2 linked regions of the Caenorhabditis elegans genome follow. The gene in region 1 interacts genetically with each later gene. Each region holds a gene or a part of one and is shown on either strand. Other genes may lie near its edges. The genes, in order: mib-1 and lin-18.

Region 1 (6,778 bases):
GCGTCTTTTCCGGTGAGCACAACGGGTTTTCCCTTCTCTCCAGGACCTTCCCGGGGCGCTGTGTAGTTCGGGATTTGGTGGAGCTCCCCGTTCCATGTTTCCGGAAGCCTTACGAGCTCTTCTGCGTATTTTTCTGCAAAAAAATAGATTTTTTAATAGAAAAATTCCACTAAAATTGCCCACCAATATCCGGAAACTGGAATTTCGTGCGTCGCCGATCGTTCCGATGATAAGCTACGATGCAGAAGAAGGCGACGGTCAGAAAGGCGGCGATGACGAACGTGCCCTTCTTGCGAGGAATAATATACCGAAGCATGCTGGAAATATTTATTTTTCAGTGTTTTTCGAGTTATTTTGAACTTTTATTGTAAAAATCACTTAAAAATGAGTGAAAATCATGAACAATTGGGTTTAAATTGAATTAAATTGAAAAACGTGGCAAAAATGTCGAGATGGACGAGGTTCCGGAGCCCCGCGGCCACGGCCCCCACGCCTTTTTGCGCGGCAATTCAAATCATTGTAGCATATTTTCCAGTTAAAACCCCTTTATTTCTCAATAAAATCTTATTTATTTACACAGAAATGGAGTATACACAATCAAAAGCAATAAATTGATATTCACGAGTAGATCGGCTGCATCGTCTCGATAGTCTTTCTGCAGATGTGACATTGCTTCTTCAGTTTATCGGCACAATCCACACAAGCCGTATGTCCACAATTAAATACAACCTGAAAATATTTAATTTTTCAAAAAATCGATAATTTATTGATTTTTTGTTTAAAGCCATACTCACCGCAATCTTCAAATCCATACAAATCGCGCAGTTCGTCTCCAACTCGAGCTGCTCCAAACGTTTTCTCAGTTGATTCAACTCATTCTGCTTTTCACGTTCCACTTCGATTTTCGCCTCTCTCGCCGCATCGTCGGCGATTTGTTTGCGAACTTCTGCCGAAACTTGTTGACGATCGCCATCGGATGGTTCATGGCAGCGGGAGCCGATTTGAACTGGCTTTCCGTCTGTTTAAACATCGATATTTAGTATACAGAGAAAAATCGATACATCGATAATCGATTTTCCACGAAAACAAAATTGATCAAATTGCCAACGTGGCCTAGAAAACTCTAAAAAGGTATTTCTAGGCCACACCCCGTAAATCCTCGCAAATACCTTGATCATGAGCCTCGTTGATAAATTGACGACACACTGGGCATCGGCGGATTGCCACTTTCTCCGTACAATCGACACAAGCGACCCGATGACCGCACGGGTCCAATTTGACAGTGGCAACCGAATTGAGACATGAAAATGTGCACATTGTTACTTCTGTCGAGTCGAATTTATCCTCACTCATCGCCATCATCATCGGCATCACCTGTCTGAAATTGAGTTTTGCGACATGGCCGAATTTTTTCGGAAACTCGGCCACCCATTTTTTTTTGTTTGTTGATTCTCTATATTTGATAGTACCTTACGCATCAATTTCAGAAACTTTTCAAAAAAAAAATCGAAAAATCAATTGGTGGCCGAGTTTTCTCATTTCGGCGGCCATCACTGAAATCCCAACCTCTGCTTAGTCTGTGCAATATGAACGATAATCGATCTAAATGATGATTCTTCGCACAAATCCATCACGGTCATCCCTCTGCGATCTCTGAAAGGGACATTATTGATTTTTCTGAAAACTATCGATTTTTGTCGAAAAACATATTTTTCTAGAGAAATCGATTTTTTTTTTAAATATCGATTTTTATCCGAAATATTGACTTTCTTGAAGAATATCGATTTTCCCAGAAAAAGAGAAAAATTATCGATTTTCTTTAAAAAAAATAGACCAACTTGACATTCAAATCCGCTCCATTAGCAACCAAAAAGCAAATAGTGGCAAGTTGCCACATCGGACGAAGTCGGCTTGCCATCTCATCAAGATTCAGGTTCGTACGAACAAGTTGAGCACAAACCGGAACCAACGACGCCGGATATTGCTCCGAATTGCTCAACATTTCACGAATCAACTGGAAAACCGGTGTCTGTCCATTCAAATCGATAATATTCGATGGAGCGCCGGCTTTAACGAGAGCCTGAATTGCTGCAAGCCGATTACAGTCTTTTTCCGCTTCTCCTGTCCATTTTTCGAGGGCGTAGTGGAGTACTCCGCGACCGAACTTGTCACGACGGTGGACTTCTAGGCCAAGCTGAAGAAAATAATTAAAAAAAGTTGTCGGAAAATTCAAATTTCTGGAAAAAAAATTTTGGCGAAAAATTAAAATTTTTCGAGAAAAATTTTGATCTTAAATTCATTATTTTCGGCAAAAAAATCCTAAAAACTAACGTGGCCGAGTTTTGCATAAACCTCGGCCACCAACACTACTAATTTTTTTCACCTACCGAAATAAGTTTATTGACAACATTCGCATGGCCAGAGGCAGCGGCAAAATGCAATGCGCTCATTCCAGTTTTCGAGGTGGTATTACGGTAGGAGGCACGCAACAGGAGAAGCTGCTCGACGGTGCTGAAAATGTTGGAGGGGGTGGTGCACTTCTAATAGAGGTTTTACCTGACATGACCACTCATAATTGCAATTTGGATGGGTGTCATATTGCTATTGTTCACGTGATGAATGTTCGCACGAGTATTTGTCAGAATTCTACTTATTGCCGCTTTCTGAAATTGTTTTAGCGATTATCGATTTTCTGGTCAGTTTTCGGAAAAATCAATAACACAAACCTTATTCGAAGACTCTGGCAGCCGGCACACCTCATGCAAAAGTGTGTCGCCAAAATTGTTCGGAACACACGGAATACAAGTACTCGTACCGAGAAGCCGATCGATACAAGCTGCGTGGGCGTGACGGGCGGCCAAATGAAGCGGTGTTAGACCGTTGGCCGCTTGTGAATTGATGTCTTTTGGGAGAAGAAGCATTACAGTATCCAGCATTTTGTCAAGACCTCTGCAAGAATTATTGATTTTTTTAATTTTTTTTTAAATCGATTTTTTTACGATTTCCCACCTCTCCGCAGCCACATGAATGATAGTTCGATTCTCGGAATCTCTGGCGGTTCTATCTGCACCCAACGCGACAAGCATCACAACAACATTCCGTAGATCATCGGCGACAGCACGGAAAAGTGGCAGTTGACCGTCGAAAAGGGTCCGAACTTGTTGCGGATCCGATCGGATCGATTCGACGAGAAGCGCATAGCTCAGCGCGTCTTCACCCCAATTCGCGATCACTTGCATTAAGGTGTCCGGGGTGTAGCCGTGGATTGTGTGCTGAAAAAATCGATTTATCTTTCAGGTAGGCATGTAGGTAGGTAGGCAGATAGGCAGGTAGGCATGTAGGCATGTAAGCTGACCTATGGACCAGCAGGCAAATATGTAGACAGACAGGCTTTATGCAGACGCATTTTCAGGCAAACATGTAGGAAGGCAGGAAAAAAACAAGCAGGTAGTCGCGGAGGCAGGCGTGTAGGCAAGTAGGCATGTAGGTATGTAGGTTTGTAAGCTTACCTATGAACAATCAGGCAAATATGTAGACAGACAAGCTTTATGCGGACGCATTTTCAGGCATTTTCAGCATCAGACAACAATTTGACAGGCTATTGCGATAGTAGGCAACTAGGTAGGCACATAATCAGATAAGCGTGTAGGCAGGCAGTTTTGGAGGCAGACATGCCTGAAGTTACCTACCTTATAAGTATGAACCGACGGCTCATTATTATCTCTAGCAATCATTGACAATCGGGGACCCGAATAAACCGGACACAAAAAGATATCCCGTCTCTCATCAGTCCATCCCGTATTCGCATTAACCGCCACCTGAATCTCCCGGGTAATCGTCGGATTCGAGGCGCTTTTCAGTTGAACCAAATGCTTCGGAATTCCACCTAAATTCAATGGTTCCTTCGTTGCCACTATTCCGATTGTCGTTTTTTCCGGATCTCCGCGGGTTATTGCAACGAGATCACCTTTTGAATGATCTATACATTGAGGGAATTCCAACGCGTCCAGCGGCCATTCGGTAGAGAGCTTGAACTGAAAATTTAAATTTAAATTTGGGATGAAAAATTCGGAAAAAGGCTCTTTTTTCAGTGTTACCTCTGAAAGCTTGAAATCAAAAAAATTCAGGAAAAGTTTTAAGTATCTTCAATGAAGATTTCAGTTTCTGTACCGTTATCAACCAATTTTCATTTAAAAATTCGATATTGAAAATCAAAAATTACAGTAGCCTTTTAAAGACGCACGCCACTTTCGCAATACTTCTCCTGGCGCGATCAGTAAAAATGTGTGCGCCTTTAAACGATTACGGTAGTATCCAAGCAATTTAAACTTTTTTTTTCCGATTTTCAATGGAAAAAAGTACAAAAAAGATCGCTAGATTCCGAAAAATCACACATTTTACACAAAATCTTCAAAAAATCAGCTTACAAGCTCTGGATTTTGCGGAACTGCGTAGTAAACCCGAACATTTGCAGTGTGCCGGTGCTCGTTGATGCTCTCGATATAGCCAATGTGACCGAGAAGCTGAAAATGTTGAAGATTTGCCTGTTTTGAAGAGATTCTCAGCAAAAAATTTCAGATTTCAGCATTTTTTTCTTTTCTGCCACTCACAGCCAAATGTGTCTTCGTCCACGCAACATTATTGTACGAATTGAGGCGTTGTGCATGATTTGGATGATTTTCCGATATCAGAATTCGATCGCCCGGTGTGAAATACGTCAGGTACTCGTCGTAGCTCGGCGATTCGCCAGCTACTCCGTTCATTTTTGTGAGAAATAATTGAAATAAATAATTTTTTGTTATTCTGCTTTAGTTTTTTGTTTTAGACACGTTTTTCCGTGGTTTTCTAGTATTTTTCCGAGAATAACACGTTTTTATTTGGAAAAACCCTCATTTTTCGAAATATCCTTGTCCGAGAGGAGTACACACCGGGTGGCCGAGTGGGGATTTCTAGTCCCGGGTCGCGCCCGCGAATTCTTCGCTTTGAATTTGAAATTTATTTTTGCTGATTTTCAGTGTTTTTTGCGATTTCCATCGATTTTCCTCATTCAAAAAGTTTTTTTTGACTTAAATTCTGCGATTTTCTCATCTATATTATCGATGTTTCAGTCAACATCCCATCACTTGATGCAATAAACCGATGAAGATCAAAGAAGTGAGTTTTCCCAAGTTTTTCATCGATTTTTCCCTATTTTCAGGTGAGAATCACCGGCTTTCGAAGCTACAAAGACAACACCAATGTGTCGGGCTTCAGTCCACGCTCGAACGTCGTCGTCGGACGAAATGGATCGGGAAAATCCAATTTTTTCCATGGTTAGCCGCATGAATTTCTGCGGAAAAGCTGAAAAATGTCAATTTTCAGCGATTCAATTCGTTCTTTCCGATGAATATGCTCATTTGAAAGAAGAACAACGTCTTGGTCTGCTTCACGAGAGTACCGGACCGAAAGTCGCCCACGCTCGTGTCGAAATCACCTTTGACAACTCGGAAAAGCGTCTAATGGCGTTTGAAAATTCAGAAGTGAAGATTGTTCGTCAAGTTGGAAAGAAAAAGGATCAATATTACATTGATAATAAAATGGTGCCACGTGCCGAGGTATTCCAGCTGTGGAAAACCTCGAGATTTATCGATTTTTCCTCAATTTCAGGTGGTAAATCTCATGGAATCCGCCGGATTTTCTCGCTCAAACCCGTATTACATCGTTAAACAGGGAAAAATCAACGAGTTGGCCACTTCGCCGGACGCTTATAAGCTAAAGCTACTGAGAGAAGTCGCCGGAACACGAGTTTACGATGAAAGAAAGGAAGAAAGTCTGAAAATCCTGAAGGAAACCAGTGCGTACCTGAAAAATAATTGTTTTTTCGGTGAAAACGTTAGAAAAATGATTTTTTTTTGCTGAAAAATGACTGGAAAATCATCAAATTTTCATGGTTTTTGGTGTTAAGTATGCAAAAATTGCACATTTTCAGCAAAACTCTGGTTTTCTTTTGCAAAGTCGCGCAAAAATGACTGGAAATTGTCCAAAAACTCCGAAAGTCAGCATATTTCGACTATTTTCAAAAAAAACTCTCAAAAATTAGTGCATTTTTATTCAAAAAAGTGGAAATTCACCTTTATATATTGATTTTCTATCTGAAAAATGACTGCAAATTGTCAAAAAGCTACGAAAATCACCAAATTTTGACTATTTTCAACAAAAATCGCTTGTTTTTCTGGAAAATGTCAGAATTTATTGAAATTTTCATTCAAAAAAGCTTGAAGTTTACCGATTTTACTGGATTTTTGAAGATTTTTGAAGACAAAAAGTGCTCAAAATCTGGTATTTCGACCGAAAAATTTATCTGGTAAAATATTCAAAAAGCTCAGAAATTTCAAAAAAATTTAGCTAAAAAAACTAAAAAAAAAAAGCTTTTTAAGAGTTTTAAGAAATTTTTCGAAGAAAATAGTTCGAAGAAAATAGGTACGTGAAATTTTATCGATTTTTCTCAAATTTTACAAGAAAAAATATTTGAAAAATCAGAAAGTTAACATTTTTGAAGAAAAAATGCTCAAATCTTGAAATTTTATCGATTTTTCTGCAATTTTACAAAAAAAAATTCAAAAAATCGAAAATTCACCCTTTTTTTTTTGAAGAAAAACAATTATCAAAACCTGAAATTTAATTGATTTTTCTCAAATTTTTCAAAAAAAATGTTTCAAAAATCTGAAATTAACCTTTTTTGAACAAAACAGTGCACAAAATCGGGAATTTTATTGATTTTTCTGCAATTTTACATAAA
Region 2 (5,807 bases), on another chromosome or scaffold:
AGTTACCAATTGAAGATAAAATATTAACTGAACGGAAACCATGGATGATCCACCAAGGAAAACTATCCAACATTGCTCCCTTATCAAACATCAGTGGTGATATGGCATCTGACGACCCACCAGAGGTGACACCAGAGCCGGCACCTTTTCAACAGCACCAGATGGGAGTTTGGTATCCGATGAAAAAAGGAGACATTCCGCACCTGGGAATATTTAGTGGGGAGTTCAGGTATGCAAGTTTTAGCAGACCAAGTTAAATGGCATTTGTTTCAGAAGGGCTCCGTTGAAAAAAATCAGAACCGCCAGTGACATCAGGCTCTATAATGAATATACCAGAGCAAATCGTCTCAATAGACCAATTAGAATAGAAATGGATAATGCTGCTGGTAAGTAGTAGTTTTCTAGATTGTTTCTGTTACTTCACTAACTCAAATATTGAAAAAAAATTGCAGCTTACGTAAGGAACGAGTGTCAAACAGATAGCAACTGTGGTATTCAAACTGTATGCTGCACGAAGAAATGGTGCGACAGAAGTAATAATTGTGGTACCGGAAAGTTTTGTCTGACAAGTTGCTCGTCGACAAAACTTACCTTTTTACCATCTGCAAATCATGCTGAAAGCGTAATTGATATTATGTATGATTAGGTTTATATTGCAAAATTAGAATAATGTTGTTCATATTTATGTCTGTGTGTACTTATTAATTAAATGAAGAGTGGGGAACAATAAAACGAATCGGAAACGAATTTAACCCGTCAAAAGTGGATGGTTTTGCATTGCAAACAATTAATTAGATGTATTGACTGAGTTGAATGTTAAAGTCTCGAAGTCCATGAACTACCTGCTCACTGCTAGGACGATCTTCGCTGAGTACCCTCCAACAGCACAGCATGACTTCGTATCTAGAAAAATTATAATTAAAAATGAAACGTGTACTTTATTATGAACTAACAATTGATCCGGACAATTGTTCGGCTGTTGCAGACGCTTTCCTTTGAGAATCATTGTGTACACTTCCTCAGGGTCTATTTCAGCGTGTGGAGATCCTCCTAGCGACATGAGCTCCCACAGTAGAACTCCCAGTGACCACTGAAAAATTTTAATAGTGTTAAACTTGGAAATATTTATTCTCCACTCACAACATCAGCGGCCGATGAGTACAGCTCATTTGCAATAGCTTCTGGAGACATCCATTTCAATGGTCTGTTCTCATTGTCACCCAAGCAGTGATAATCAGCTGGGAACAGATCGCGGGACAGCGCCGAGTCGCATAATTGCACTTGGAGTCGCCCATTCACTTCTGCGATCAAGCAGTTTCTAGCGGCAATGTCGTTATGCACTATTCTATATTTGTGTATATGAGCTACTGCAGAAGATACTTGTGTGGCCAGAGAGACGAGTTGATGAGTTCGGAGAGTTTGAGCTCCTAAAATTGAGTTTAATTTGTGTTATGACTGTTTTATTTGAAAGTACCTTTAGTTTTATCACCATGTCGGCAGATGGTGAGGAACTTCTTCAGGTTTCCAAAGCCTTGGTGTCTGTAACAAACAAGTGGAAAATCTGTGACAGTTTCCGGGCGGTCGAATCTTCCGAAGGAAGCCACACATGCCACTTGAGACAAGTTTTGGTGAGGTGTGATGTTGTAAAATAGAAGGGCGTCGGACAAAAACCGATCCAGCTGAATTGGTGAGGCATTATTTTTCAACGTTTTGGTGTAAACAGCTTCCTGGTTACAGAATGTGTCTTCTTCGTCGTCAACATCTCCGTTCAGTACGTCATCTACTTGACGCCAAATTGCATATCTCACTTCTCCAAATGTTCCTAGAAATTGCAAAGTTAAAATTTTAAGCTAACCAGTTCCCAAATTACCCTCCATATCTAGAGGTAGAGATTGAAAAGCATCTCGATCTTGATAGAGTTGTAACAATGCACGTCTCACGTCAATCTGCAATCAACTCAAAACCTGCGTCATTCTTGACAAGATATTCTTGTCACTTTTCACAAAAACTCACGTTTCTTGGCTTGCTCGGGATTATCGAATTTCCCGACGCAGACGACGAAGAACAAGGAGCGCTTGAAATAGCGGAAAGAGTCGGAGGTCCTACAAAAGAGATGTAATTTATGATAACATCTCAAGATGGATTACCATCTCGCGGTGTGCTCAGAAGAAAAGGCTGCGCGCTTTTTGTAGATTTCAAAGAATTCCGAAAAGACGTTCTGAAAGGAAGGGGATGACAATGGGCAGAGTTGAAAATAAACCCTACGGAAGTCGAGTCGGAATCATGTCTTCTTTTTTAGAGCGCTTGAAATAACAGATCAACGTTGCTGCCACAATAAGTAGGAATGCCGCAGCAATGCAAATGATAACAAAAAATGCCTTGTCTATTGAGTCAGTGTCGTCGACTTCATGACCCTCGTAGCCTCCTGGAAATATAAGAATTTGGAATTTGATAATTCCAAAGGGTGATATAATTGCTAATAAAAATTGTATTTACCTTTATTTGTTAAATAAACAGTGTTTCACTAATTCACTGACCACAAACTGAAACCACTTCACCCCAGCATTTGAAACCAGACATGGAAAGCTTATGCTAAGATAGGTGAAGCTCCCACTTTTTAAACTCGCAAGTTTTAACATTCATACTTCAGTCTACCTTTCCACTACTTTCGGGGCATTTCGAGTTTTTGAAAAAGTTGTTTTTGCTAAATTTGGTACTTCTGTATTACATGCCATTATATTAAAATAAAAATCAATGCTTATCAATATGTACATTCAAATAAAACGTGATATGCATTTTTCCTCTTTTTTCAGACAACTTGGTATGGGAAATCATACACGAGGTTAATCTAGCAATGAAGTAATTTAGGAAAACTAAAATCCAAAACTCCGATGGATTTCAATTTGTTTCATAGAAGTCCCTCCTTAGAAAAAATGCTTAAATTTATACCCAAAATTGGTATTCTATTCCGAAATCCAGTTCATTCACCCCAGAATGACAATTATTCTTCTCCATTTGAAGCGTTTTTCTCTCCTTTTTCCTATTTTTCGAATAATCGGTGGACCTTTTTCTCTTTCAATTCAACTCATTTATTTTCGTCTACCGCCGCTTCTGTGACAATCAAACAGCTGCACTATAGAGAAGAGCGTGTCATTCAATCATTCCGAGCCTCTCTTCAAGTTTTTGGGCATCAATGTGCACATTTGTCATAGAGGATGTCGTCGCCCAACTATTAGAGCATAACAACTTTTGCTTACCGTTCAGACCTCGACGTCCGTCCCTTGAAGCGCAGATCTTCTCCTGTCGCAATTTCACTTTCAACGGCTCCTTATTACCATATTTGAATGTGAAATATAGACTGACAGCAAATTGTCCGGATCGGTGTCCGGCACATCTGTATTCAACGGTGAAGTCTGTAAGAAACAATAAATTATCATTTGAAAAATGTTTCGCGAAATGAATACCCTGCAAAGATTCTGGCACCGTTCCTTTCAATGGAATTCGAACAATAGGAAGCACAGAAGAGTCATCAGATTCGACGTAAACTTCATAGTGTACCTGTTTACAAAATAAGTCTCATTATTTAGATTTTAATAATGTATGTTTTTATTACAATTCCAACAGCATTCCATGTGAACGAGAGGTAGTCGATGTTTGCCATAACTCTGTAGTGAAACTTTGTAGAGTACGAGCTAACATTCCCCATTTCAATGTAATTCAGCTCAGCTTTGACACCTGTAATAAATTATTTTAGGCCATAGCTTAAATGTTGGAATTTCAATAATCTTTTCCAAAATTTTTCAACATTTTTTTGAATGTTTTATTCTGATATTAGGTCACTTTAGAACCAAATAAATATTTTTCATATATTCCCCCACTGACCGCACTCAACCTTTAACAGATAACTATTTCTTACCAAAAGTACGATTCATTTCCTCTTTGCTGATGAACATATTCACATTGGCCAGGCAGAGTGCCCATAACTGCGCGAAAAAAATCAGGTAGCGAAGAATCATCCCATTCGCTGCAAAAAATGAAACAGTTTTCGAATTTTTCAATTCGCAACATTGAGGAATCTGGAGATGAAAGAAAGGAGGCAAATTAATTCATCGAGTGTTCAAAAGCGAAACGAAAGTGATGAATGATAGAGAAGAAAGACACCTGAATACGCGTCGACAACTGACGGCGGTGTTCTTCTCAAAAATAGAGGTCAACAAAATGCAACATTTTGGATAACAAATGAAACAAATTGGTTGAAATTAAATTCCGATATTTGGTATATATGTAGACAAAAGTTCAGAAATAGAATTTTTGAAAGGTGATAGTCCCGCCCACTGGGACGTCTTTGTTTTTTTGGAGGAATTTCCTATCAAAGAGTTAGCTTCAAAGAACTTGCACGTTAATCTAGGGATGCCAATTTGGCGAAATGCGATCTTCTTCATTCACTTCCTTTTAAATGTCTTTATTTCACTCTCTCTCTCACAGCTCTTTCTCTCCACTCATTCTGACTCAATTCAGTCCAGGAGTGGCACCCAATCACGCCGGGGAAACAAAACAGCGTTGTAGCAATAAAAGGATGACCAATGAGAAATAGAAAAAATTGACAGAAATACAAATATACAACACATCTACAACCACGTCTTCTTTTATTTTGGAGATCTTTTTTGTCCTGTGAATGGAGTATCTATAGAAAGATGGGTGAATGTGTGTGTGTGTGTGTGTGTGTGTGTGTGGATGTCGGGATGTGTGCTTTTCAAATTGGGTTAGTGCAAGCCGCTTTATGTACAATGGCACCAAACAAAAATTACATTAGGAAAGAAGAAAAGGGTGGGAGGGGTAGCAACAAAAAAAACATGAGAAGGAAAAAAAGGGCAAAGGACTGCGGATGACGCAACTGTTAGAACTTTTTTTCTGTGAAAAAGTATTTGCAAACTCGGTTGCGCAAGACATTCTAGCGGTAATTTGCAACGATTGAACGTGAAAATGGGAATAGTGGTTTCGGAGCATTTATTTTGTCAAAAGAAGGAGTGAAAATTCTGGGTATTTTAAAGGTATACACCTAAAATAATCTCAAATATACAAATTTCCTAGCCCAAAAAAACAATTTTTAGAAAAACATTTTTTTTTTGTTTTTAGTGGCCTAGCTAAAATCCCCAATTTCGGCAACTGAAAGTGGCCAAAACGGGAGAGTTTAGCTAAAACTAGGCAATTGTTTTTTGAAGTTGTCAACGGCCATTTAAAAAAATAAGTAAAATTTTAAAGTTTTATTTTCAGATATTTATAATGAAAATAGTTTATTTAATCACATGTTCGAAACAAATTAGCTGGAAATATTACTCTTTCTTTAAAGAAAAAACGTATAACTCAGTCAGCACAATTAGAATTCGTGTAAGTTTCAATTATTTAACGCAGCTATAAAACAGTATGGTATTATTTATTTCAAATTAAAAACAACATTCAATGTTTTAACGAGAGTATTAACAAAATCTACTTCCTCAATAAATTTGCCTAAAAACCATGAGCTGCTGGCAAATAATTGTTGATTGGCCACTATCATATGGGGCAACGAGTACTCAATGGGAAAGAAACGGGAAAAGGAGGCGGAGGATCACTTTTCGGCGGCCGCGGGAGGCCACTCATTGTGCGGGGTGCCAAAATAATCCAAGTTTATCTTTTGAAATGGTTGGTGCTTGAGGCGGTGGGGGAAGAAGAATGGCAGGCGTTTTAATCTCAAGCCCAAGCTGTCACAAAATGATTTCCGCTCATGGAGCTCCATTTTTGGGCGGCGTACAACATTGACTGGCTCA

What was found.
Region 2: of mib-1 (region 1) and lin-18, changing one enhances a phenotype caused by changing the other (phenotypic enhancement), as found in Caenorhabditis elegans (one study listed by BioGRID).

What each region holds. Positions count from the first base shown.
Region 1 is NC_003281.10:11,285,803-11,292,580, forward strand, and holds mib-1 (RING-type domain-containing protein), read right to left. Parts: upstream 4,875-6,778; 5' UTR 4,764-4,874; coding exon 4,611-4,763; intron 4,524-4,610; coding exon 4,428-4,523; intron 4,035-4,427; coding exon 3,690-4,034; intron 3,273-3,689; coding exon 3,010-3,272; intron 2,950-3,009; coding exon 2,727-2,949; intron 2,664-2,726; coding exon 2,557-2,663; intron 2,512-2,556; coding exon 2,388-2,511; intron 2,195-2,387; coding exon 1,839-2,194; intron 1,654-1,838; coding exon 1,567-1,653; intron 1,379-1,566; coding exon 1,170-1,378; intron 1,019-1,169; coding exon 795-1,018; intron 730-794; coding exon 619-729; 3' UTR 533-618; downstream 1-532. Other genes in the region: gly-9 (putative N-acetylgalactosaminyltransferase 9), read right to left, coding at 1-133, 184-316; smc-3 (Structural maintenance of chromosomes protein 3), read left to right, coding at 5,140-5,154, 5,198-5,312, 5,362-5,594, 5,647-5,833.
Region 2 is NC_003284.9:3,956,769-3,962,575, reverse strand, and holds lin-18 (Inactive tyrosine-protein kinase RYK), read right to left. Parts: upstream 4,025-5,807; 5' UTR 4,017-4,024; coding exon 3,917-4,016; intron 3,736-3,916; coding exon 3,614-3,735; intron 3,559-3,613; coding exon 3,465-3,558; intron 3,414-3,464; coding exon 3,258-3,413; intron 2,426-3,257; coding exon 2,266-2,425; intron 2,219-2,265; coding exon 2,148-2,218; intron 2,103-2,147; coding exon 2,014-2,102; intron 1,947-2,013; coding exon 1,871-1,946; intron 1,823-1,870; coding exon 1,475-1,822; intron 1,428-1,474; coding exon 1,141-1,427; intron 1,091-1,140; coding exon 954-1,090; intron 904-953; coding exon 792-903; 3' UTR 669-791; downstream 1-668. Other genes in the region: C16B8.2 (uncharacterized protein), read left to right, coding at 1-229, 274-386, 453-646. UniProt on the Caenorhabditis elegans protein: Has no detectable kinase activity in vitro and is unlikely to function as a tyrosine kinase in vivo. Receptor which may act as a receptor for Wnt ligand mom-2. Plays a role in controlling P7.p vulva precursor cell lineage orientation during vulva development.